4 linked regions of the Caenorhabditis elegans genome follow. The protein of the gene in region 4 purifies or fractionates together with the protein of the main gene of each other region. This does not show direct contact. Each region holds a gene or a part of one and is shown on either strand. Other genes may lie near its edges. The genes, in order: dbn-1, asp-4, cht-3 and hipr-1.

Region 1 (4,919 bases), 5.0 Mb from region 4:
CTTCAACTCCGACGCCACTACGACGAAGAGCCGAAATCTCATCACCAAAGATTCTCAGATCCTCATTTTCAGGTTAAATTAAAAATCCATTTTTTTCCTTTTAAAAGCTTTTATAAAAGAAAAAATAGTTAAATATAAGTATAAATTTTTTGCAGGTGCCATTCGCAAATCTTTATCGACTCCCGATTCAGTTAAAGTCGAGACAGCGGTTACGGTAACCGCACTGTTCGAATTTGCCAAATCCTCCGCGGAGACCATGTCCATCGAGCAGGGCGAAATTCTTCTCGTACTCGAACACGATCACGGAGATGGATGGACTCGAACCAAAAAGTAATACAAGTAACAAAGAATTACCAAGTAAATAAAATGAAAGTTGCAGGAAACACAACGAAGAGTCAGGATTCGTGCCAACTTCGTATTTGCAATTCCCCCAGTGATTTCATAAATTAAATAGCATTATCATCATCAATATTGTACTCGAGACTGCGCTTATTATCGTCCTGTGAATGAAATAATTGATTATAAAAACAGATTCTTCGATTTTCGATTCATATTGCCATTTACGGAGAAAATGCACATAAAAAGTAATGGTATAATAAATTACAGGAAGTGGGAGAATGGGAGGCACCGCGGATTGTTGAGTTTAAAATGGGAAAAAAACATTGCACAATAAATTAGTAAAAAAGAACGGTTAGGCTATCTAGACAAATTAAATCAGCTTCACATAATTAGCGGGAAAAAGGCCTACGCGGCCGCTGGGCGCACGTCCTTTCCACCATCCGCTATCGACTTGATCGATATCTGTGATAATGTCATCAGGATCAAATGAGATCTCCGTGTCATCTGCAGCCTGGTAGTCCCAGAGAGCCATCGCGTTCTGCTCGGCGACCGCCGGCGGGAAATCGTACTGATCAATTGGTGGAGCAGCGACTTTTATTGGCGAGGATTTCGGTGCAAACACGGGCTCCTCTGGCATCACTGGAGGCATGTCATACTGTGAGGCGATGTGAGCTGGCAGTTGAGAGCTCGATGAGTGAGAGTCGATCGGCTCCGGCGGAGCATCATACTGAGACGCATAGTGGGAAGGAGCTGAAACTGGAGGTACAGCTGGTTCGAAAGACTCGTGAACCGGTGGAGCATCGTACTGGGAGGCGTAATGCGATGGAGCTGGAGTTGGCTCAGGTGGAGGTGGAGCAATGACCGGGGTTGGAGCAAGGAATGTAGGTGGAGCTGGCTCTGCTGGTGGCTCTTCGTATGCATCGTAAGAGACGGCAGGTTCTGAAAATATTCAAATTAGGACTAATAAACTTTATACGAAAACTGACTCATAGCCTCGGGCTTGTAAACCATTGGCTCTGGCTCATAAGCTATTGGCTTTGGCGTATACGTCGAAGGCTCATCTGGCTCAGTGAGTCGGTTAACGGGTTCACGGGGCGGAGAGGTCGTGCCAACTGGCGGCCACTTCTTAGGCGATCCATTCACTTGAGGCTTCGGAAGCACTGGACCGGAAGGTTTTGAGCTGAATAATTCTTTTCTGCTTCCAACGAGACCTGCGCTCGGAGTGGGGGCGGGAGCTGGAGCTGGATTCACCGAAGATGGCACGGGCTTATCACTAATTTGAGCCTTCCCGTGAAGATCATCCGCAATCCGTTTTCGATCCGTCTCGAATTCCTTCTGCTTCTGGGCCTGTGCCTCTTTTTCCTCCGCTTGCCGCCGCTGCTCCTCCTCGTTCATCTTGCTCCAGAACTCTTCGCGAGCTGATGAACTGATCTCCACGTGCGGTTTTGTTGGCTTGTACACCGATGTGACCTTATCCGGTTGATAGTTTTCTGTTTTGGAGTGAATTTCCGAGGCCATTCGCTGTCGATCCGCTTCGAACTGCTTGTGTGCTTGTTCACGAGCGGTTTTTTCTTCTTCTTGACGCCTAAAATTGCGAATTCTATTTCAATAAATTACTCAAAACACCCACAGCTTCTCCTCCTCGTTCATCTTGCTCCAAAACTCCTCCCGTTTGACCGTCTTCAGCTCAACGTGGGGCTTCGTCGGCTTGTACACCGAGTTAACCTTCTCCGGCTGGAAATCTTCGGCTTTTGTGTGAATTGCCGCGGCCGTGCGATCACGGTCAGCTTCATACTGCTTTTGCTGTTTCGCATGAGCCACTTTCTCGTCGGCTTGTCGTCTGAAACTTCTTAGAGGTGATTACTTGATTTTCAGGACACGATTTCATGTAGACAGTACCTCTTCTCCTCTTGATTTGTTGTGCTCCAGAAGTTCTCGCGAGCCTCCGAGCTGAGCTCCGAGTGTGCATTCGTCGGCTGGTACACCGAATTCACCTTCTCCGGCATGCTGTACGTGGATTCGACGATGGCGTTGGCGTTCGCCGCCGGGAGCTTTCGCACCTCTTTTCGAATCGCGTCCGGCTCGATGTCGATTTCCGATCTGGCATGGAGCACAATGTGAACTGTTTTCAAGAATCTACGGAACTCTTCAGCGTGCGGTGTCGTTGAGGCCAAACGCAGTGTGGGGACTCCTTCGCCTTGCTGCAATATTCAAACATTAAAATGGTTTTTTTCCTGGAACTTCGTGTTTAAAAGTATACAAATCTCGATACATCTCTAAAAATATTTGAAACCATAACTGACAAAGAATTTTTGGAAAAAACTACAGTTTTTGTTTTACAAATGGATTTTTAAAAAAAATTTTCAGCAAAAAATCTCACAATAGCGTTATCTTTTGAGAGGAACATGGAATGCAAGCAAATTGACATGATTTTTGTTAATATTCAACTTTTAAGACCTAGTAATCACGAATTTTTTCGATTTTCGTTTTCCTTTCAATTTAGCCGTAAACTCCATACCCAATGCACCAAAACGATTTTCGGGAAGACATCACTGCTCAGTCGCACCGAAATCACACCAAACTGGAGCTTTCCCGAGCTGAAACTGTCGGCGAACTCCTCAAGACCACCAGCTGAAATAAATAGATTTTTAGGAGGGAAAGCAACGAAATCTGAACTTACTTCCTTCTTCTTTGACTCGTAATGTGTTCGAATTTCCTTCATAATCGAAAATCACCCATTTATCGCCATCTGAGTCATCACTGGCACGCCGATACGACGCTTCAATCTCCTTGCCGTGTGCATGATAGTTGAGAGTCATCTGGAACACATACAATATAGGGTTCGACGACCTATATTGTAATTATTAAGCTAAAATCGAGGGAAAATTGTAATAGTGACGCGATAAAAAGCCTCCGAATGGTCTCCTTATCATTTTTTTATTTTCTTTCTACGCAGAACTTATTTCTCTATGGTACTCCATTAATCACACTATGTTTCGCAACATATGGCAAATTTGCCACAAAGGTGTGCATTTTTCTCGATTTGATCGAGTCACGAGGTAATTTTCAATTAAGGCCGAGAAATTTATGGGTTAATATAAAGAATCTCAAGTAAAAAATCGTTTAAAAGACCATTTTCGGTAGTTGACCAGGAAATGAGAGAACGGAACGGGCGTAGCCGCCAGCAAACATCTCTCGTTCCCGCGCCAGCGGTAGGCAGAGACCCTCCAGAAAACTAAAGAAATGTCTCGAGAGATGTTTTTTTTTTCCGGTAGGCGAGATTGAATTGGAATCAAAGCTTAATCTTCTCGCGGTCGAGTCTCCGCGTGCGTGTCTCACACATTTTTGCATGAAAAACTCCGGATTCTATGGTCTGATCGTTGCGATTAAAAATGGAAAACTAATAGGCTGACCGACAAAAATTTGCGAAAATACCCAATTATTTTCAATGCAAAGATACAAAATTTGATGGAAAAGAGAAACAAATAAACTTTCAGAAATCAGGTTAAAAGAGGATGGGTCTCGCCACGAATAGATTTTTAAAGTCATGTGCCTTTGAAGTTACGGTAGTTGAGCGGCTTCAAATTTATTATTTTTAATTATGGCAATATTTTCACTTTCTGGTTAATTTTAAGCGAAAAATTGAGTTTGGAGGAAATTTGTTTCGTTTCAAATTATTTAAATTGTTTTGAAACAGAAAAAACTAAAGCTGTAATTCATCGCTTAAAATTTTATATTTACAGATATTTCTGATCTAAAAAAAACAGAAGAAAGAATATTCAAATGTTCAAGAAAGAATGTCAACAGTACTGCTAGAAATTCAAAAAATAAATCTAAAATTTGGAGCGTTTGAAGGTGGTTTAAGCTTTCATGAAAACATTTTAAACGATCTGCAGGTTAAAATCTAAATAAAAATAGGTTTTCACATTGAAAAACGGCATAGATGATTAATTTCAACACATTTTTTAGATTTTCTACATATGTACTCATCTATTTGAAAACGAAATTGAAAGGGATAGAAAACATATTAATAACACTAATCAAAAAGAAACATTGGCCCCAAGATGTGTGTGAGTCACTTTTGATTGTGTTTGTGTGTGTTGGGCCAGTTCAGGGCGGCAGTAAGATAGTAAGGGAAATAGTGAGGCTGTCCGTTAAGACGCAGCAGTTCAGAGCGCTCAGTGGAACATACGACCGCCCTTAATGGCTGTCGTCTCTCACTCGTATGAAGTCGGACACAAGAAGTATGTAGTAGTAGTGGTATATTTAATTGTTCGTGTGTGTAGGTCTTTACTAAAAACTTTTCCTTCTAGGTGACCCTAAATCTCTTCGCTTTTCATACTGTCTCACAGTCAAAGGGTTAAAGCAGTAAATTTTGGGATTTTCTGCAGAATGACTAATCTCTTGATGACTTCTCTACTTGCGACTGTTTGTTTGCGCATTTGTGAACTGAGTCATTCTGATCATTTTTGGGGGAATGAATTGTTCCATCAGGTTGATTAAAAAATAGTTGGTGAATCGAAATTTCAAAAAAAAATTGAGGCAGGATGTTTCGCGCGCTGGGTAGAGAAAAACGATAT
Region 2 (4,763 bases), on a different chromosome or scaffold from region 4:
CCACACATATGGACATTTGAATGTAAGCAACTGATTTTTCATGCACAGTCTGTTTTTTTGCTTTTCAGACCTGTCAGAAGTGGGCTGGTTCGGGGTGTTTTGCTAGTTTATACGCTATGTGTCCACCGAAACCTTCAACATATGAAAAAGATAAAGATGATGAAGAAGATGAGAAGATTGAAAATCCTCAGGAAAAAACACCTCTAGAAAATGAAGATGAAAATCCAGAAAAGCAACCTGGAGCTGGCGACTCGAAAGAGCCAGATGAGACATCAGGAAATAGTAGTCCGAAAAAATCAACACAAAGAGGAAAAGGACTGGTGAGTGTTGCTATCAATTTTGATGTGTCTACTATATTTATTTTTCTAGGACCCCACAAAGCACACAGAGTCTCAAAAATTCTACTCATGGCTCACCGATTCGAGCAATAGCGGAAACAGTGGAGACATTTTGTTTCGTCCATCTGTTGCTTAGTGGCGCTAAATGATCGCATTTTTCGATTATGTGCCTTCAATTGTGTTGATAGAAAAATATTTATTAAACATAAAGTGTTTTATAAAGCCAATGAATTAAAAATATTTTAAAAACCTGGATTTGTGAGAAAAATAACGTGTTGATTATTCGTCGTCTTGTTCCATGGATTCCTCACTTTCGTTGTCGAAGACAGAACGGAATGGTCGTGGAGCTGGATCAACTGGACGGCCATCGGCGGTCTTAGCTTGAGCAAATCCGACACGGTTCTGATCAAAATCGAAGACGGAATAGTACCTGATTTTTCATTGGGTTCGTCAATGTTTAATTTGAGAAAAGATATGGCTCACCTTCCAATGAAGACATCTCCAAGAATCCAGAGCTCTCCAACGCGTTCTGGGAGATCGATTCCCATAAATCCAGACAAGCAAATAGTCTTTCCACCCTGTGAAACCTTAAGGACATAGTCTTCTCCCTTAAGACTGAACTCTTGTCCTCCGATCACAAAAGAGACTGGTGGAAGTGTTGGAACCTTGTCGCAGCTGATCATGTACTCTCCCTTGATGAGAGGCTCAGCTCCAATGAAATTTTGGATGGCTTCGATTTGAGCCTTTGGTCCGGCTATGAGAGAAGTACCGGTATCAGCAATTGCTTGGCATCCATTGGAGCATCCAAGAACTCCAGATCCAACAACCTTGTCCATCTTGAATTGCCAGTATCCCTTTCTGGTGACTGGAACATAGGTGATTGGCTCAACATATCTTCTTGAGTCAATTCCTCCAAAAGTGATTTCTCCTCCAATTTCAGAGTCTGGGTTACGGTTGAGCCAAAATGAGAAAAGATTCGATGGGACCTTCTTCTGTTCGAAAAGAGTGTTGAACACTGGTTGAACTCCTGCAATAGAGTATTACAGAAGTGAGAAAACCTAGTAAGTGCTCAGAAAATAAAAGTCATTTTCTGTAATTATTGTACCTTTGATGGCATACAGGATGCAACTTATTATTACTTCACACCAAAATGTTCAATGCACAGCTTTTATAACTAAAACAAAATGCTGAACCCTTCCGATTATCCGGGTGTATCCCAGTCTACTTCAAACTCTTACCGAGAACCGCAATTTCAGGGTAAGCCATTCCGAGGATTCCGTCGAATTTGGCAGCGACAAAGGTGATTCCTGGTTCACTGGTTGCTTCAGCAAATGGCTGATCCTCAGCGCACACTCCTGCGACGCAAACGCTATCCTTTGAAATGAATCCCTTCATGGATCCAGTTCCATATTGAATTGCCATCTTTCTACCATCCTCCTTGTATGTTGACGAGCTCTTTGAGTCGTAACGGTGATGAAGCACTGAAATGAAAAAGTGTTTTATTTGTTTGTCCAAACCATAAAACTGTCAAAAACAAACACGTTTCGGTCAGCATCAGTTCACAAGAAAAAGCATGATATCAGTTTGATTTGGTGATGAAATACTTACTGCATGCAATGTCGTAGAATGGACACTTTTTCGATGGAATCCACAAATTGGAAGACCCAGTATCAAAGATGACTGTGAAGTTTTGAGCTGGAGTTCCGATTGAGATGGTTCCAAAGTATTGAGCCTAAAACTTTGATTAGTTATATGTTTTTTGTTGTTTCAATTCTCACATCCATATAGTTTCTGAGAAGCTCATCAATCTCTCCTTCAACATTCAAAGCTTGGTACTTGTCGAAATGATGATTTCCATTGGTTTTCAAGTACTTCTTATATCCATGACGATGCTTGGCAAAGGTTTCGAATGAACCGGCTTGAAGAAGAGTCTCGCGAAGAGTCGGCTGCTTCTTCAGGGAAACGCTGCAAGCAGAATAAGAACTGAGCAACTGCTGAGTGGGTCACTTGTTTTTGTTCTTGTTGTTCGGATTTTTGAGCAGTGTTGATCAACTCGAATGGGATAAGCAGGAGGGTCTTGTGACCCATCGAGAGAAAAAGTGGCATGATGTGCCTTCTCGAAATCTTAGATTTGTGAGACAAAATAGAAAGAAAAAGTGTTATGATCAAAGTAGAAAGAAGTGTTCCCAACAAAACCCAATGAATTTAAATAATCCTTTCACAGTTAGAAAAATTTTATTAGGTTTTTTTTTTAATGTCAAAATCAGATTTGAAACTACAATAAAAAACAATGGACAACTTTCAGTTCTTTATAGTATCCTGTCTAAATGAGATTCTGACGGGATTATATAATATTGAAACAGATAACAAGGTTACTCATTACCGAGGATTCAAGTATCAATCAATCTTGCACATTATCACACCTATTCAGTTATGTCATAAGTAGGTGTTTGCGTGGCACCTAATATTAAGAAACATGACCAACATTTTCACTATATCGATGATCAAAATGAGGTGTCAACAAACCTCCAACGACCTCTACTTACGTTCTCAATTTCTGTTGCCTCTTGTGAACATGAAGACCTTGAACGAGAAGAAGTGCTCCGAGGAGCAAAAGAATACAGCGGTTCATCCTGACGATGAAACTAACTGAATGCCTCTTCCGATCTCAATTGTGCCTTTTCTTATCTCCCCTTTCTCTTCATGATGACTCCGCCTTGTTTCTTTGCCGGCACAACAGCAGCTGCAAGGTCAACTGTCTCGTTGTTATTCCTCCAGCTGTCATGCATAATTATCGGAAAGTAAATTCTAAACATTCAAAAAATGGCCTGACCGTTGTCAACGTGTCCGTCTGTACCGGTGAGATGACAAGTTTGAATGATAAGGGAATTGTGAAACTTTGTTCTGTTTCGATTTAGGGGAGAGAAAATGGGATAATTTCAAAACTCGGCCAAATCAAGATCCTATCTAATTTTGTCTTCAAGGTTGTTGTAGACAGTAATTGGGACTTTTGACGGAGTTTGAAAGACAGTTAGTCAATCACGCAATGGACTATGAAAAAAATTGCATGGCCACTTTTGAAATAAAACCAAAACGTTTGGAAGACCAAGCAATTTTAATGTTAAACTGTTAAACATAGAAGACACAAAAGCTCTGTAAATTGAGGTTTTTTTGTGGATGGAAAATAGCGTGGATGCTGCCCGTTTTTTCCGTCTGATTTGTGAACAACAGTGTTTGAATGCTAAGGATAATATTGATTTAGGTTCATTCATCTTAAAACAACTATGATTGGGTTATAGCTTTACAAAACAGATTCTACAATTGTTCAAGGGCTCCTATATCAAGTAGTTGCTTAAATTAAGCCTATAAAATATACAAGTTGCGTGGAAAACTTACAGGAGATTTAAAAATTGTTTTTGAAAAACTATATACAATTTTCGTATAACATTGTTGACATTTTTGTTCAATGTTCAATTTTCAGTTTTCATTAAAATTGTTGATGAAATTATCATGTCCTAATGCAATGTCCTAATGCATACATAAAAAATTTTAGATGAAATGGATTAGCATGAAAAAAGCTATACAATAAAAACTATTATTGGAAACAACCGGCACTGGATATATGAATATTATGTATCTTTTAATCACAACTCTCGAAAAAGTTATCCCCCCAAAGTCTGAAGAATTGAGCATAGTGAAACTTTACTTAACTAACAAAATTGAAAAATAATATTCCACAAAAAAGGGCAAATTAAGGCAGATGAAAAAAAAAACTTTAAAAAAAAGCACACTATTAAATTTTCCAGATTTAGTAATCAGAACGCTGCATTCAATTCCGTCATGAAGTTTATAAACGTTTAGTTCTTTTAAAACCTAGTATTTTGCAATAAACACCAGAAATGTACAAGTTCGGCCAAATTGGATGCAAAATCAGAAAAAATCGGAAATAAAAATCCGGTAATTTGGGGGCTCACCTCATATTCTGAAACAACGAGAACTTGATTTACATATGGTTCTTTGATATTTAATTTTAAGCAATTTTTTAATTAGTAGTGACACTTTAGTTGTTTGTTTTGTTTTCCAACTATTCTTTTACATTCTTATAACTTCAATTTTTCATTTATGAGGTTTGTAAAATAATTTATTCACAAATAAACTTGAATCAAAGTGTATAAATATATTCTTTCAAACATCTTCTTCACAATATGTGAAATTAAACATCAATCAGAATCCGTTGTGAATGTCATTGCAGATGTTCCCTCTCCACCATTTGCCAACGCTTCCTCCATTTGTTCTTCATCTGACCTGATTCCATAGATCTTGCGAATTTCTTCCGTGCTTTTTCCTCGAATCAATTCTGCTGCGGCTGCACACCCCATATTCATCAAATCTTCGACTCCAAGCGCATGAGAAGCATTGAGTAGT
Region 3 (7,786 bases), on a different chromosome or scaffold from region 4:
CTAATGAAAGAAAAATCTCTTTATATTATATTTTTTGATTTTGTTAAAGCCTTTAACAAAGTTTCACACAGTCTCTTAGGAAAACTTGCCAAGTTCGGTCTTGACTAGCTTGTTTCTGGTTCAAGGAATTCCTCGATCACAGAATATTCACCGTCAAAATCAACAAATTTGTTAATTTGTCCAAGTTAAATGAACTTCCTCTAGCACCAACTAAGTCTACATTATTATCACTGGGAACTTTGAACAAAAACCATTCATATTTTGTAAATGGTGTCCCAATTCCCCCTTCCCCGCTTTTTCCCTTTTTTTTCGTAAAAAAAAATTTGGTCGTGTGGGAGAGTTGAACTCATCCATTATCGATATCAAACGAAATAAAATAATTATTTATCAAAATTGTGAAGTTTCAGAAATTAACGACACTTATGGGAACTATAAACAGATTTCAGAATTGGGAATGATCCACGCCCACAGATTCCAGTATAGTCATCTCCATTTACATTCAATGCAATACCGCCGAGCTGTTCACGTTGGATGTAACCAATCTGAAAATTTGAATACTTGAATAAAAAATCCTAGAAATTTGATAGAATTTCCAGAATTTCTAGAAAAATTATTATATGTACTGTATTTGTAGAGATTTCAGCTATAATATAATGTGGCTTTTGTTAAACTTTTAATAATACAACATGACAGAATATCATAATGGAACCTTTCAAAAGATTTTAGACTTACGATTAGCAAATTTTTCCGTCAAATTGTTGGAAAATTATCAGATTTTCAAAAACAATCACATTTTGAGAAATTTTGAAAAAAATTACTGTTTCAAAAAGTTTACAAAAAATTTTTGAAAATTTTTGATTATTGTACATCCATTATTCCAAATTTTGGAAGTTTATCTTATTAAATTTTGTCGGTAAAGGCACATTAAAAGCCGATAGGTAACCAAAAATCATCAAAATTGGTTACCTATCGGCTTCAAATGTACTGTAATAAACGAAATTAAATGATATAGACTACCAAAATATGCAATAAAGAACAATAATTCAAAAAAAGGGCAACTTCGGACCGCGATATGGAAAAGTGGGTAAAAACGAGATTTTACCTAATAGCAGTGTAACTTTTTCAAATTTTGAACTGCCACAAAAAATTTTTGATATTATTTTTTGAGAAGTTTCATTACGAAATTTGTTCTTTTGAGCCCATGTTGAGTCTATTCAAAATCGTCCGAACCGTTAGTCCCCCTTTAAACAAAACAGTAATTTATTCTACTTTCGTGAAAATGTGAAACTTTATTTTTTTAAGTGGGGTCTCGCCAGATCTCAAAATCAGTCATCACGGGAGCTATAAATGCCAAAAAAGAAACTTACTTTGTATCTAAAATCTTCAATCATTGGCATGTTGATAGTTCCATTTTCATGTTTGGTCATTCCTGTCAATGTTTCATAATCATGTTCGTAGACAGCTCTATTCCCAGCAGTTACACAATTAACTCCTTGTGTCATTTTCTTCTTCTCCCCCACTTTCTTTCCAGTCTGCCAACCAAATGGCGAGAGTTCCAAAACTAGCTTATCCGGTTTCAGTCCCACATTCTTCCAAATATTCACAAATTTCTCAGTTGACGGGAACTCAGGCTTTGTGTGATTGAAGAAGAATGGAAGATCAACGGAATGTTTATCAGTCATTCTTAATGCAATGTGAGACAGACGATTCAATAGAGATACACTGTAGTACGTTGACGGCTTTTGTGTGTAATGGGAAAATCTGAAATAATGGGATATATAGCTTTTTAAAAACCTCTATGAAAAGGTTGCCTTGCTGAAAGTGTCCTGTTACACCCATTGGAAGCCTTGCCGCTTTCAAACTTCTGTGCCAATTTTTTGACGAATGTGTTGAAGTAAATCTGAATAGATTCATAGGTAATTTATTCTTAAACCTAATAAATTACATGGTTTCCTCTGCGAATCACTTTTTCACAATCCAATTGTACTCCAGAAAATTTGTACTTTTCCATAATATTCATCACGTTGCCAATTGCAAATGTCATGTTGTCTACAATATGGAAAAATTGGTTATGGGCTTAATTTCGAAGTTAACAAAAATCAAATGCTTTTCAATAAAAATCATGTACGAGTTAACTTTTGGATTTTCAGACACCCAACCGCATCAAGATTTTTCAGATTTTGTTTCATTTTCAAAAACTTCAGAATCCTCGGCCACCTTAAAATCTCTCAAAGTCGTAATAGGTTTGCAAAAAATAAAAAAAATCGAATATTGGAAGTATGCACTGAAAAAGCTTTCAGGAATATGTTTAAGAGCTTTTCTTCCAGGTAACATGATCTTAATTTGTAATTTACAAATTGTAAAATGAAACTCACCACCAAGAATTGAATTCAAATATTTCTCAGAATCACCGCATGATAGTGAAAGCACCATTCCACATTTAACCATTTTTGACCTCAATGATGTCTAAAACTCATTATAGACTACAAGGCAGGTGCGAAAACTTACCAAATTCTTAACAACTTGTTCTTGTTGAACATCATTGAAATTCACATTTCCACCTAAAGTGAGTGTTGCCTGCTCAACGACAACTTCCGTGCAACGCTCGTATGGGACAATGTCCGTTTTGAAAACAGCTGAAAAATATTAAATTTTTCAAAAATAAAATTTTCTGTTTCAAATTTCACACATCAGAAAATCCAAAAAAAAGCTTACGAGTGCTCCTCTTCAATTCAAAATTGCAGCTAACCACGAAATCGTGTTGTTCACACTTTTTGAAGTCATGCTGTTTCAGGCAAGTCTGACAAACTTGAGCACGAGAAAGAGCATTTAAAATGGGGAATGCAGTACGGTTATCACAAACTGCACTCGGATCGTCCTGGTGCATGTTGTGAAGAGCAAGTCCTCCAACACCTTCCATTGATGCCCATACTGCTTTGATGTGAGCACTACGAGTATTCTCATATGCTACCATTTGATCGTATCGTCTGAAGTTATTGCATTTTGTGATAATTCACATTTTGGTCCTGGTAGTAACTTGAACCACTGGAAATTGACTTGCTAAATCATTTTCCGTATTTATACTTAAATATAAATTTAAAAATATTATTTTGTTAAATTGAGATAGAAATACGAAACTAATTTCCAGTTTTTCTCATGTCATTAAATTGGCTTAAACTTTTTCGCTTTGTACACTGGGGAAGTTTATTTGAAATAATTTAGAATAAAATTCTCAAAGGGCTCAGTTCACCATAAATCCCAAAATATTACTTACCTCAAATATGGTACTTCAGCTCCATCAACCCAATGAGTGACACCAGTTCCAGACTTCAGGCTTTCACAGATCTCCTGCTGACTATGAATATCTCCTTTTTTCGATCTCAACATTGACACAAAAGCTGATTGTCCAAATGGAGTTGCAGCTGAGCTTCTCACATCAGCAAGTGATTGCATGGATAAAGTGGATGCACTCAGAGACAATACAAGTTTTGAAGGGAGTACACGTTTTTCGACCCAGTGAGAGAGCAACGATTCCCAACTCATTTTTTGATTAGTCATTGATGAAGTGGCACGAAGAGGTGAAGGATGTCCTGTGAATGGAAGAGAATCCGAGTGAAGACGATGAGAGTGAAGGACAATTAGTGATGCAGTTCTAAAATTTTTGAATTAAAATAAATATTATATTAAAGTAAACCAACTTGTTCAAATGCTCATAATCATAAAAGTCCGAATAAGCGCTCTGTTGTGAAGTTGCCACAACGATCTCCACCATCTTTGCTGTGTCCGCTGCGACGATATCATTGATAAATGATTTCAAATTCTTCTTATCAAAATCGCTGACCATTGGTTGAGAAGTCCACGAAATCTCAAGCCCATCTGCGTTTGTTGAATTGATTGCTTTAACAAGACCTTCAGCAAGTTCTTTTCTATGAAAATCGTTTCCAAGGAGGAATTGCCATATTGTTGAGGCTTGTTTTGATCCGACAGAAAGAATAAGCTGAAATAGTTTTCCTTTGAAATCTGAAAACGGTTTCAAAGAGTTCTTACCCTCGGTGCCACTTCAACTATTTTGCTTCTCCAATCATCAATTTTCTTCACCAGATCTTCGGCTTTATCCTCTTCAATCATTTTGTCGGAGAGATCAAGGGCGAAGTATGGAACAACAATATGACTACAGTAGTCAGATTTCAGATTATCAATTGGGAATGTTTCCTCAACCTCCTCCGGATCCAAATAGCAGAGTCTTGTACATTTGGCTGGATTCGCAGGAATAGTATTACGAATTAGTTCCATGACAAGACGATGAGCTGGCAACGGATCTGTACCACAGTCTCCACGTGGATCATCGAAGAGGGCGTGGCTAATACCAATTCCAGCAAACTTTTGACCCAATATCCATTTCATCTGGAATTCAATAGGTTTCATGAGCTAAAGCATAAGTTGCAACGACCTTTTCTCCCATAGCCTTAATTGTTGGTAGATTAACACTCATCCACGTCTGACGGTACACGGTAATTTCATTCATAGTCTGCCAATCATAAATGACAGCTCCTCTAGCTCTACAAGCATCTTGATAAGAAACTCGTTTTCCATTATTCTCAGCATATTGTCCATGAGAGATTTTTAATGGATCTTGAGTCTCTTTGATTTCAAATTTCCATCCTCCAGCAGTCAGTCCAACTACGATACGTGAAGGGAGAATTCCTTCTTTTGACAACCTTAAATTTTTATTGTTACGACAATAGGTGTTTTATACACAAAACGAGTAAAAACCTTCGTTATTAAAAATGTTTTAGAATTTTAAACATTTTTTGAAAATTTTTTGCAGAATTTTGTAACTTTCTTTCAACATTTTGAAAGCATCGGATGGTAAAAAAAATAAATGAAAAGATAATAATAACATAAGAAACAGTAAAATTAAAAAAAAAACATTTTCCAAAATTATGAATTGCAAAAAATGAGGAAGTGGCTATGTTTGACAATAACTTAAACACAAATCAAAGTGAAAAAGTTTTACTGTGATATTTGGAATTTTTCAAAAGACAGACTTTGAAAATTCCGTATTGGATCTAATTCACCTATATATTTTGACTTACTCTTCGACAGTTCCTTGAATTGTTTCCTCAAACGGAATTGATCCATTATAGAAAAGTGGATTTATGTGTGTGACTCTGGCAAGTTCCTCGTTTGACTAAAAATAACTCCAGTCAACCATTTTTTAAACTGAAAATACTTACTGGCAATTCTCCCATATCCAAATAGATATACTCAACGAGATCATTGATTTCTTGAAGTCGTCTTAATGCATCAAATGCAAAAACTCTTCTTCCTGTGACTCCAAATGTTAACGACATCTTTTTGTCTTTTGAAATCGTTTCAAGAAAACTCGTTGAGGCTCGATACTCAAGGTGAATGCCGTTGAAAGTTACAAATAAACCATCGAATCTTCTGGAAAATAAATTTTAGTTTTGATAAAGCTGTGATGACCAATTTCCCAAAATTCTCAAACTCACTTGCTCTTCACATGAGATCGGAGCCCGTTTGCAACCTTCACCGATGTAGCCGCGTCTTCAAACGGTTTTGTTCTAACAACTCCCATCAAGAGTTTGGCATTTGGATGATATTTTCTCAATCTCATGAAAGTTCGAATATTGTCAATATCATATCCAGACTCAACATCGGATACACTGTACTGTGGATATCCAGTGTCTCGATCAATTGGAATACTTCCATACACTAAATGGGTGCACGTTGTGATGTTTTGAAGAAGATTTGGGGAGAGACGAGTTTTCTGCAATTTGGAGCCTTTTACAATTATCAAAACTATTAAACCAATATTTAGTAAAAAATATTTTTTAATTGAAACTCTGATTGACATTGCTTGTTTGATAACATTTATGGCTGCTTACCGGTGGAGGATTGACAAAACAATAATGAACAGGAGCATCTTCATCACTTATCTCACAGTATATGCCTACTACAAGTATTGACAGCCAAATGAGGGTTTTTATACCCATCTCTAAAAAGAAGAAAGATTATAAAAACACAATAAGAAGGTGAAAAACTCTGAGGAAAAATGACAGAAGCATGCTGATTCTATCTCTTTTATATACGATTTTTCGTGCCCAGATTCAACCAGAAAAAAGAGCTGACCTGCAGATAAAAAAAGCGATTCGGGAATGATAAAGTGGGCGGAAGATCCAAAAGCCTCGCATACCACATGTTATTGGTTTTTAGGTGATTGATTTGAAATTTCGTCGCTGAAACCGAGATTTGACTGGTTGTTGGCTCTCTGGGAAACAATTGCATGATGTAAGAAAATGTTTTATTTTTAAATAGAGATACGGATGCTTGTAGAAAGTTTTGTAGTTTTTTTAAATTTAAAGTTTGGTATCCATAAACTTCACGTTAAATCAGAATTAGAGAATAAATTCCAAATCAATTGACATATTTCCAACTTCTCAAGGTTTTTCGAGCCTGCAGTTGAAGAAAAACTGTCTTTGTTTTGAAATTTTAAAACATTTTAGCCTTCAAAGGTTAGAAATAATTGCTCCATTTTGGGTGCAACGGTAAATTTGATCACCTCACACCCCTGACAGGTACATTTCCACAAGATATCAAGGAATTTTACAGTTACGAAATTGTCTTTCACTTTTTTGTCAAAACCATTTCTAACTCTCCCTCGGTTTTCAATAAGATCTCAATGTTTCATAACCACCCACTTTTTCCCTTAACCTTCCGTTTTCAATTTTGATCTCCCTGGGGACCAATATTTCAGTATTCCGTATGTTGACAAACCCTTTTCCCTTCTTTTCTCCTGACAAGAAACACTTTTGTCCTCGTCCTTCTTGTAGTTGTCGCCGGCGTTTTTACTTTTTCTCGGGTGGGGATAGTGTCCCTAGACAGAAAATAATTCGTCATTTTTGCCGCCTCACAAGTTAGTTTTCTAACTGTCACACAAATCCTACAATATTTCATTTATTTGGGATATTGTTTTGAATAAGGCGACAAAGCAAAAAGATCCATTGGGAGTTTAACCTGATTTATAAAAGACAGTCGCCAAAAATTATTCGAAAGTTTTGATCTCAAGATGGGTAGATAAATTTTTGAAGTCCTACTGGGAGGCACCGCGGTGGTTTTGAAAATTTCAGAAGTTGTATCGACAAAAGCGGCACAGAGCATTTTTTAAAATAAAACTTTCCGTGATATTATCATAATTCTCGGAAATCTGAATGAGTGTTTTCATAAATATGAGCACTTTTTCGTTTCAGCAGAACTAAATTTTCATGTATTTCTCAATATCTCATATGATTTCATTTCTTTTCTTAATGTGACATGACATTACTGTCATCACCCAAACGAGTTATTTATGACGAGTTTGCAACATCTGCAGTTCTCACATAAATGAGTAAGGAATAGAGGGAAGAAACGGCTAATATGGGTTTTGAGGTTAAACATGTTGCCTTACAATCAATGATTTTTCTTCCGTTAATTTCAAGTATCAATTCACAATATGAATGTTTGTTTCAATATTGTTTTTTCTTGCACTTTTTTGCTCAACTTTGCTTTGTCAAATTTCACTTATTTTTGCCTGTTTCAACAAATCTTCAATTACGAATAAAAATACAAAGTTGTTTCGTTTTTAAAAAAGTTTTTTCGTTTCCTATTTCAACATTCTATGATACTGCTACAATTAGAAAAAACCTAGAAAAATTCCTAGTCACGAATAAGTAATGGCATAAGGGGATTTGCTCCCAAAGACTGGATTCTCTGCTGTCAGTCGGAA
Region 4 (7,511 bases):
TTGATGTACAATATCATGATTTGGATCCAGTCGAATTGAAAGAATTTTTAGTTGCCCGGAAAGAGAAAGTTGATGCTCAGTTGAAGGATTTGGCAGATAAAAAGGCGGCGAAGATGCTCCGAACCACTTAATAAATTTTGTTTGGTTATAGGAATATCCTCCTAGGATAGACGTTTTTTTCTAGTAATTTTTGTTGTTTTTGTTCGTTACAATAAATCTCATTTTTATTTTCTGGATTAATTTGATTACCAATCGTTTCCAGCGATTTTCACATATTTTTCCAGAATTTAATACAGATTAATATTTTCGAAAAATTTAAACATTTTCTTTTCACATTTTAATTCATCTCTATTCATTATGCAATACTCTTTTGGTTTTCAAGCATCCGACATTCCTCCGTTTCATTTATGTTTGCATTTCTGCTGGCATGAATGCATTTCATTGTGTCTCGATGAGAAAAAGGACAATTTCATGAGCTTATCAGTTACTTCGTTTTCAAAATTTTAATGTTGACCAGCCATTGATGTCATATTTTGTCTAAGAAGCTCAAGAACTATTATTTTTTGAAGCTTAATTTCGAAGAGCAACATTTTTTTTCATTAAAATTCAGCAGTCATTGTTCTTTAAAAAGTTTTGATTCTCGTTTTTAAACGATTTTTAATTCAGTCGAGAATTGAATAACTTCCCGATTTCCCGGCCACCATCGTTTAATACCTTTTCTTTATGAGACTAACTTCCAAGTATGCAAATTGCAAATCGACGCAAGGGGAATACACTCGCTCACTTCTCATCGAAATTCGAAACCTTTTCCCATTTTCTTTCATGTCTTTTTCGCTTTTCTCCTCTCTGCCCATTTCCATTTATTTCTCAAACACCGTTCAGTGAACACGAAAACCCTTACGGAAATTGTGTTGTAAGAATACAAAAACTTCCGTAGCATAGCGAGAAAGAGTCACCATTTTGTAGTGTTTGCCCCCGGTGGTATAGTTTGCACAAGTTTCTGAAAGAAGAAGAAGACACATTTGAGGTCTTATGCACATAAAAATCAATGTTAGACTATCTTTTTCACGTAGTTTTCTTTTGCAAAGTGGAAACTTCTCATTAAACACTTTTTGCTTTTCAATTGTCTGAACAAGTTTTCGATTAAACAGCTGTAAAGCTTTTGCAAGTTTCATGGTTTATGAACTATTTCGAATCGGTTACATTGCTGAAGTTTTAGTGTTTCTTGAATATGTCGTCACTACCAGGACTGGACCAAAAATCAAAAAGAATTTAAAGTGAAATACCAAAAAAAAAATCGTCGATTTGCGATTTTTGAAGGACTGTAAGTGACTTTTTTGGCTTCATTTAGGTCCCAAAAAACCTTTTTTTTCTCAAAAAATGTGACTCAAAATACCAAAAAAGTCTTAACCTGATCACTTCGCCTTCTCAACTCAAGCCATTTTTGCTGTTTAGTTCGAATATGGAACAAATCATAAGAATCTTGAGTACCTATATGCGATACCCGATTCATTTTCCTCTCTTCTAAATAACATCATTTCCTCTCTTTTTCCCTCTCTCTCTCTCTCTGTTTTTGTTTGTGACTCACTTTGTCCACAACGCGCGCGGAACCGGCTTGTTGCCACACACACACTGTGATGAAATATGCGGGAGGAAAGCTTTTCGCCTAATAGTTGACTTACTTTTCATCTATATTCCTCAATTTTGCAACTAATAGATTGATTTGTCATGGTTTTGATTTCAGGGTTTTGAATATTCTTTGAAATTGGAATTTTTAACAAAAATGCAAATTATGTGCCAAGTCATATCTCCTCCTCACACTTTTTCTATCACATGCCCCCAAAAAAATTAATTTTTTTCAGGAATGGATCATCGTGCTCAAGCGCGCGAGGTATTCGTTCGAGCTCAACTGGAGGCTGTTCAGAAAGCGATCACGAAAAATGAGGTTCCATTGAAACCAAAACATGCGAGAACCATAATAGTAGGAACACACAAGGAGAAATCATCTGGAATCTTCTGGCATACTGTAGGACGGATTCAGTTGGAGAAACATCCTGTACTCACTTGGAAGTTCTGTCATTTGGTGCACAAATTGCTTCGAGATGGACATCGAAAGGTTCCTGAAGAGACTTACAGGTGGGGTTTCTTTGAAGGAGTGATAATCTTAAATTCAATATTTTTCAGATATGTTAATCGATTCACTCAACTTTCTCAATTCTGGAAACATTTGAATACAAGTGGATATGGTCCATGCATTGAGTCATACTGTAAATTACTTCACGATCGAGTCACTTTTCACAACAAATATCCAGTTGTTCCGGGGAAGTTGGATTTGAATGATTCACAACTGAAAACATTAGAAGGAGATTTAGACAATATGTTTGAGATGACAATTGATATGTTGGATCAGATGGATGCACTTCTTGTATTGCAGGATAGAGGTTTGTAATGATTTTTTCAAGTCTGGAAAATTATTGAATTATTAATTTTCTATTTTTCAGTGTATGAAATGATGAATTCCCTACGCTGGAATTCTCTAATTCCACAAGGACAATGTATGCTTTCTCCACTGATTATTGCAATTCTGGATACCAGTAAATTCTACGATTATCTCGTTAAAATGATCTTCAAACTTCATAGTCAAGTTCCTCCAGATGCATTAGAAGGTCATCGTTCCAGATTCCGAACAATTTTCGAGAGAACTAAGAAGTTTTACGAAGAATCATCGAATCTTCAGTATTTCAAATATCTTGTTTCAATTCCAACATTGCCATCTCATGCACCGAACTTCCTTCAACAATCCGATCTTGAATCTTATCGAACACCTCATGCATATCTTCATTCGGAAGGTTCAGAAGATGGAACTTCTCTCAACGGACATGACGGGGAATTATTGAATTTAGCTGAAGCAGAGCCACAACAAGCGAGTCCATCGAGTCAGCCAGATCCTAGAGAAGAACAAATTGTTATGTTGAGTCGTGCTGTTGAAGATGAAAAATTTGCGAAGGAACGACTCATTCAAGAAGTAAGAGTTGATTATTAAAATATAGTTTTTTTTTAAAACTATCATAAAAATAAACAAAATACAACATTTTTTACTATTTTCCAGGCGCGCAGCCGCATCGAACAATATGAGAACCGTTTATTGCAAATGCAAGGAGAATTTGATCACGCAAAACGAGAAGCTGATGAGAATCGAGAGGAGGCACAGAGACTGAAGAGTTCGTTTTTTTTTTTGGAGAATGATATTTTTCTCAAAATTAGTTGGAAGTCAGATTATTATTAATTAGATATATTTTCAGACGAGCTTGCACTTCGTGATGCATCAAGAACTCAGACAGACGATGCACGTGTAAAAGAAGCAGAATTGAAAGCAACGGCAGCTGAGGAAAGATTTAATAAAATGAAAGGAGTTTACGAAAAGTTCCGAAGTGAACACGTTTTAGCGCTCACAAAATTAGGAGATATTCAAAAACAACTAGAAGCTAGTGAAAAATCGAAATTCGATAAGGACGAAGAGATTACTGCTTTGAATCGAAAAGTAGAAGAAGCTCAACGAGAAGCTGGAAGAGCTTTGACAAAGGCGGAGGGTGATGCTGGAGCAGTTGATGAGATGAGAACTCAATTGGTTAAGGCTGATATTGAAGTTGAGGAGCTGAAAAGGGTAAGATTTGAATTTTTTAAAGTTTTATATACATTCAAAATTCGGAAACTCCTAGACTTTTTTTATAATTAAATTTATCATAATAAATTCACAAATTTTTAAAATTGAAATTCTCACTTTGAGAGAAAGGGTGTCATCGAAAAAATAAACATTCCCGAAAATCAAAAAATCGAAGAAAACATTTTTTTTTTCATTCGAATTTCGTTTATTTTGATGAGAAAAACATAAGAAAATATATATTTTTTTCTTAAAAAAAAACAAAAATGGTTTAAAAAATTGAATGCTGTTTTTTTGTTGAAAAATTAGAAAATCTGAAAAAAAAAACAAAAATTTCCGATTTTCTGGAAAATCGATATATCGAAAAAATTACATTTAAAACTAATTTTGTTTAACACGAGGAAACTAAGTAAGTTTCTATGAAGACGAAAAATGGCTAAAATTTTAAACTATTTTTCGAAAAATCGGAAAACGAAAGTCGAAAAACCGAAACTTGGAAGTATAAAGCATATTTTATGAAGAGAAAATGCAATTCGCTCCTCGCGATTTAAATGTCAAAAATGAATCATGTAAAAACATTATCACTGTATAGATATTAAAAAAAACAATTTATTTCTTACAGACAATCGATCATCTTCGAGAATCACACGCCAATCAATTAGTTCAATCATCTGCTGAAGAAACTAATAAGATCCGGCTCGCTGAGTTAGAAGTAGCCAGTAAGAAATTTTGGATAAATGTATTTTTTTTAAATACTTTAATTTTCAGAGGAATCTGGTGTTGGAATTACACAAATGTTTGATCATTGTGAAGATGCTCTACAGAATGCTACGTCTATCACTTATCCTCCACGTAAGTCATCATCAGGGCTGAGTCAGAAAAAAGTGTTATTTTCAAAATCGTGACCGAAAAAAGTTTTCTACCGGAAAACCGAAACATTTAAAAAAGTTTAGAAAATTAACAAAAAATAAATTCTATCAAATTTTGTTTATTTTGAATCGAAAAAACCTTATAAAATTTCATTTTCTAAAGTGAGTAAAAATGGCCAAAATTTAAACATGATTTTCGAAGAATCAACATTTATTTTTAAAACGAAACATGTTGAAACGTTATTTTTAAAAACTTGAAGAATATGATCAAAAATGCACTCGTATTAAAATTTCGAGTATTTTTTCATTAAAAAAAGTAAAATTAAAACATTGATTGTATTTTCCAAAAATACTTTTCTCCCCAAAAACACTAAAACCAACAATTTGGAAAAATTGAAAATTGTTTCAAGAAAACCACTTCAATTACTGAAATTTTCAGATCTCGCCCAGTCAGCAATGAATAATCTCGTCAATATTCTCTCGAATGAACGTCTTGATGAACCACTCGCTACAAAGGATAATGTTTTCGCTGGACATCTTTTATCTACAACTCTCTCTGCTGCAGCTTCAGCTGCTTACACTGCAAGTATCGAGAGTTATGAAGGTGTAAATGATCAGTGCAAGAAGGTTCTGGCTGCTGCAAAAGTTGCATTTTCTGATGACAGTGCTCTTTCAAGAGCTGATAAAATGAAATTACTTAGACAAGATATACAAACATTGAATTCATTGATGATATCACTTCCTCTTCAAACAGATATTGATAAAGATGTTGTTGGAAATGAATTGGAACAAGAAATGAGACGAATGGATGATGCTATTCGAAGAGCTGTTCAAGAAATTGAAGCAATTCAAAGAAGAGCTCGTGAGAGTTCAGATGGAATTCGTCTTGAAGTGAATGAATCGATTCTTGCAAATTGTCAAGCTTTGATGTCAGTAATCATGCAATTAGTAATTGCATCAAGAGAACTTCAAACTGAAATTGTCGCAGCTGGAAAAGCAGGAGGATCGCCTGCAGAATTCTACAAAAGAAATCATCAATGGACAGAAGGACTCTTGTCAGCTGCAAAAGCTGTTGGTGTGGCTGCTAGAGTGTTGGTCGAGTCAGCTGATGGTGTTGTGACTGGAAAAGGAAAATTCGAGCATTTGATTGTTGCTGCTCAAGAGATTGCAGCTTCAACTGCACAATTATTTGTTTCCAGCAGAGTAAAAGCTGACAAGGATTCGTCAAAGTGAGTTTTTTGGAAATATTATCCGATGCCAAAATTTGAGGTTTTCTCGAAAATTTAAAATCTCGAAGTGACCGTTTTTCTTGTAATTCAAAAGATAGTATGCATTTAAGGAGTACTGTAGTTGTCAACTTCTTGTTGTGGCTCAGATTTCATTGGTTTTTCCAAAACACAAACAACGACATATCAATAAGAAAAATCGTCAAAAATTAAAGCTATGTTTCGAAATATTGGAAGAACAATAATTTTTTGAAAATCAGAAAACTTTTAAAACAAGTATTTTTTTCATTTTTCTGAACGAAAATTTTCAAGGAAAAAGAACTGATTTTATTTCAGTAGTTTCTAAAACTTAACCGAATTTGTTTCTAAATTCGACAATATTTTCAGATTGGACGCTCTCTCGGTTGCTGCAAAAGCCGTTAATCAAAATACTGCCCAGGTGGTTGCTGCTGTCAAAAACGGTCAAACAACTCTCAACGATGAAGGTTCACTTGATTTCTCATATCTTTCGTTGCACGCTGCGAAGAAAGAAGAAATGGAATCACAAGTGAAAATGCTGGAATTGGAGCAAAGTTTGAATCAAGAAAGAGCAAAGTTGGCGGCTCTCCGCAAGCAGCATTATCACATGGCTCAGTTGGTTGCGAACAAGGTTAGTTTTTAAAAAATAGGAACATGTATTTCCTTAAAACCTGAAAACATTAACAGAGCTAATAGAAAACTGACTATCGAATTAGGAATCAAGGAATTTAAAGGTTTGAGCACTCCCCCCAAAAGCTCTCTTTTAACATCACTCCCTATGTTTGTATCCCGTGCACATTTACCAAGAATACAAAAACAAGCTACACCTTATTTGAAAATTATTACAACTCGTTTAAATCAATTTAAATTTCAGGAAGGAGAAGAAGCTCAGGAATAACCAACAATCTATCCGAGTATTTCCAAAATTGTACAATCTTACTCAAATTGCTTTTTTTTTATACCATATTTATATACATCAATGCCTTACCCTCTTTTTTCACTAAAATCTCAAATTGCTCCACTGCTTAATTTGTTTATACCAATTTTATCGTCCCACTTTGAGAAACTAGTCACTCCCAGTGTCCTGTGATTTCGGTGCCCATCCAACAGTCTATAGAGAAATGTTTTATAATTTGTAAATGTTTGTAAATCTCTTATTCTAAAAGCATCCCCCTTAAATTGTAAGAAACAACTTCTGAATATGAAATTGATTTCCAAAAATATTTATTTATCCGGAACACAATTCACAACTTTCTATACATTTGAGAAGAAGAGCATTCGAACCCCGTAATGAAATTCAGGCGATGGGACGGTGGGAGAGAGAAGTAAGGGAGGAAATATGTATATTTGACACAAAAGGGATCGATTTACAAAAATAAGCTACTTCTATGGGACCTATAAAAACGAGATCTTCAAAAAACGTATGGAACATCCTTTTGTGCTCCACTGCTTAACTTCTACAAAAAAGAGATTCCTGATTCAGGAAGAAGGAGGTCGTGGAGTTGTGCCACGTGGATTTTCACTAACATTTCCACCAGACGATGAGCTGCTCGGTGGACCGATGACAAGATCTTCATCTTCTGTGAACGACTCGTTTCCATTTTCAGACTGCGATGATTCCTCCTCGTAATAATCGGTATCTAAAATGGCTCGTTATTATCATCTAAACCTTCAAAACTTTTATATCACTCACCATTAAACAAATCATCATCTAATAGGAAATGATCGCCGGCTCTT

The links.
Region 1: the proteins of hipr-1 (region 4) and dbn-1 fractionate together in Caenorhabditis elegans (co-fractionation; one large-scale study listed by BioGRID). This does not show direct contact.
Region 2: the proteins of hipr-1 (region 4) and asp-4 fractionate together in Caenorhabditis elegans (co-fractionation; one large-scale study listed by BioGRID). This does not show direct contact.
Region 3: the proteins of hipr-1 (region 4) and cht-3 fractionate together in Caenorhabditis elegans (co-fractionation; one large-scale study listed by BioGRID). This does not show direct contact.

Annotation. Positions count from the first base shown.
Region 1 is NC_003281.10:13,758,912-13,763,830, forward strand, and holds dbn-1 (DreBriN 1/DreBriN-like (where Drebrin is from Developmentally REgulated BRaIN protein) family homolog), read right to left. Parts: upstream 3,159-4,919; coding exon 3,020-3,158; intron 2,971-3,019; coding exon 2,858-2,970; intron 2,541-2,857; coding exon 2,239-2,540; intron 2,180-2,238; coding exon 1,970-2,179; intron 1,925-1,969; coding exon 1,326-1,924; intron 1,279-1,325; coding exon 710-1,278; 3' UTR 533-709; downstream 1-532. Other genes in the region: toca-2 (Transducer of Cdc42-dependent actin assembly protein 2 homolog), read left to right, coding at 1-72, 156-330, 374-437.
Region 2 is NC_003284.9:13,218,458-13,223,220, forward strand, and holds asp-4 (Aspartic protease 4), read right to left. Parts: upstream 3,006-4,763; 5' UTR 2,971-3,005; coding exon 2,885-2,970; intron 2,304-2,884; coding exon 2,117-2,303; intron 2,071-2,116; coding exon 1,947-2,070; intron 1,820-1,946; coding exon 1,577-1,819; intron 1,366-1,576; coding exon 822-1,365; intron 769-821; coding exon 618-768; 3' UTR 528-617; downstream 1-527. Other genes in the region: R12H7.4 (G_PROTEIN_RECEP_F2_4 domain-containing protein), read left to right, coding at 1-22, 69-320, 370-474; skr-20 (Skp1-related protein), read right to left, coding at 4,559-4,763. UniProt on the Caenorhabditis elegans protein: Aspartic protease, which is part of the necrosis cell death pathway. Involved in neuronal cell degeneration. Involved in heat stress response.
Region 3 is NC_003282.8:7,001,856-7,009,641, reverse strand, and holds cht-3 (Chitinase-like protein C25A8.4), read right to left. Parts: upstream 6,020-7,786; 5' UTR 6,018-6,019; coding exon 5,910-6,017; intron 5,792-5,909; coding exon 5,514-5,791; intron 5,449-5,513; coding exon 5,238-5,448; intron 5,192-5,237; coding exon 5,097-5,191; intron 4,719-5,096; coding exon 4,451-4,718; intron 4,405-4,450; coding exon 4,048-4,404; intron 3,998-4,047; coding exon 3,699-3,997; intron 3,653-3,698; coding exon 3,275-3,652; intron 2,988-3,274; coding exon 2,716-2,987; intron 2,637-2,715; coding exon 2,509-2,636; intron 2,467-2,508; coding exon 2,376-2,466; intron 2,050-2,375; coding exon 1,946-2,049; intron 1,901-1,945; coding exon 1,812-1,900; intron 1,762-1,811; coding exon 1,368-1,761; intron 884-1,367; exon of another isoform or gene 863-883; intron 543-862; coding exon 411-542; 3' UTR 374-410; downstream 1-373. UniProt on the Caenorhabditis elegans protein: Putative chitinase.
Region 4 is NC_003281.10:8,718,340-8,725,850, forward strand, and holds hipr-1 (Huntington interacting protein related 1), read left to right. Parts: upstream 1-1,862; 5' UTR 1,863-1,864; coding exon 1,865-2,136; intron 2,137-2,184; coding exon 2,185-2,441; intron 2,442-2,501; coding exon 2,502-3,025; intron 3,026-3,109; coding exon 3,110-3,221; intron 3,222-3,302; coding exon 3,303-3,664; intron 3,665-4,283; coding exon 4,284-4,380; intron 4,381-4,429; coding exon 4,430-4,513; intron 4,514-4,969; coding exon 4,970-5,759; intron 5,760-6,143; coding exon 6,144-6,405; intron 6,406-6,461; coding exon of another isoform or gene 6,462-6,467; exon of another isoform or gene 6,468-6,648; coding exon 6,649-6,672; 3' UTR 6,673-6,993; downstream 6,994-7,511. Other genes in the region: mrpl-11 (Large ribosomal subunit protein uL11m), read left to right, coding at 1-131; nte-1 (Patatin-like phospholipase domain-containing protein ZK370.4), read right to left, coding at 7,254-7,414, 7,468-7,511. UniProt on the Caenorhabditis elegans protein: Regulates pre-synaptic vesicle recycling at neuromuscular junctions of mechanosensory neurons. Plays a role in maintaining a normal defecation cycle.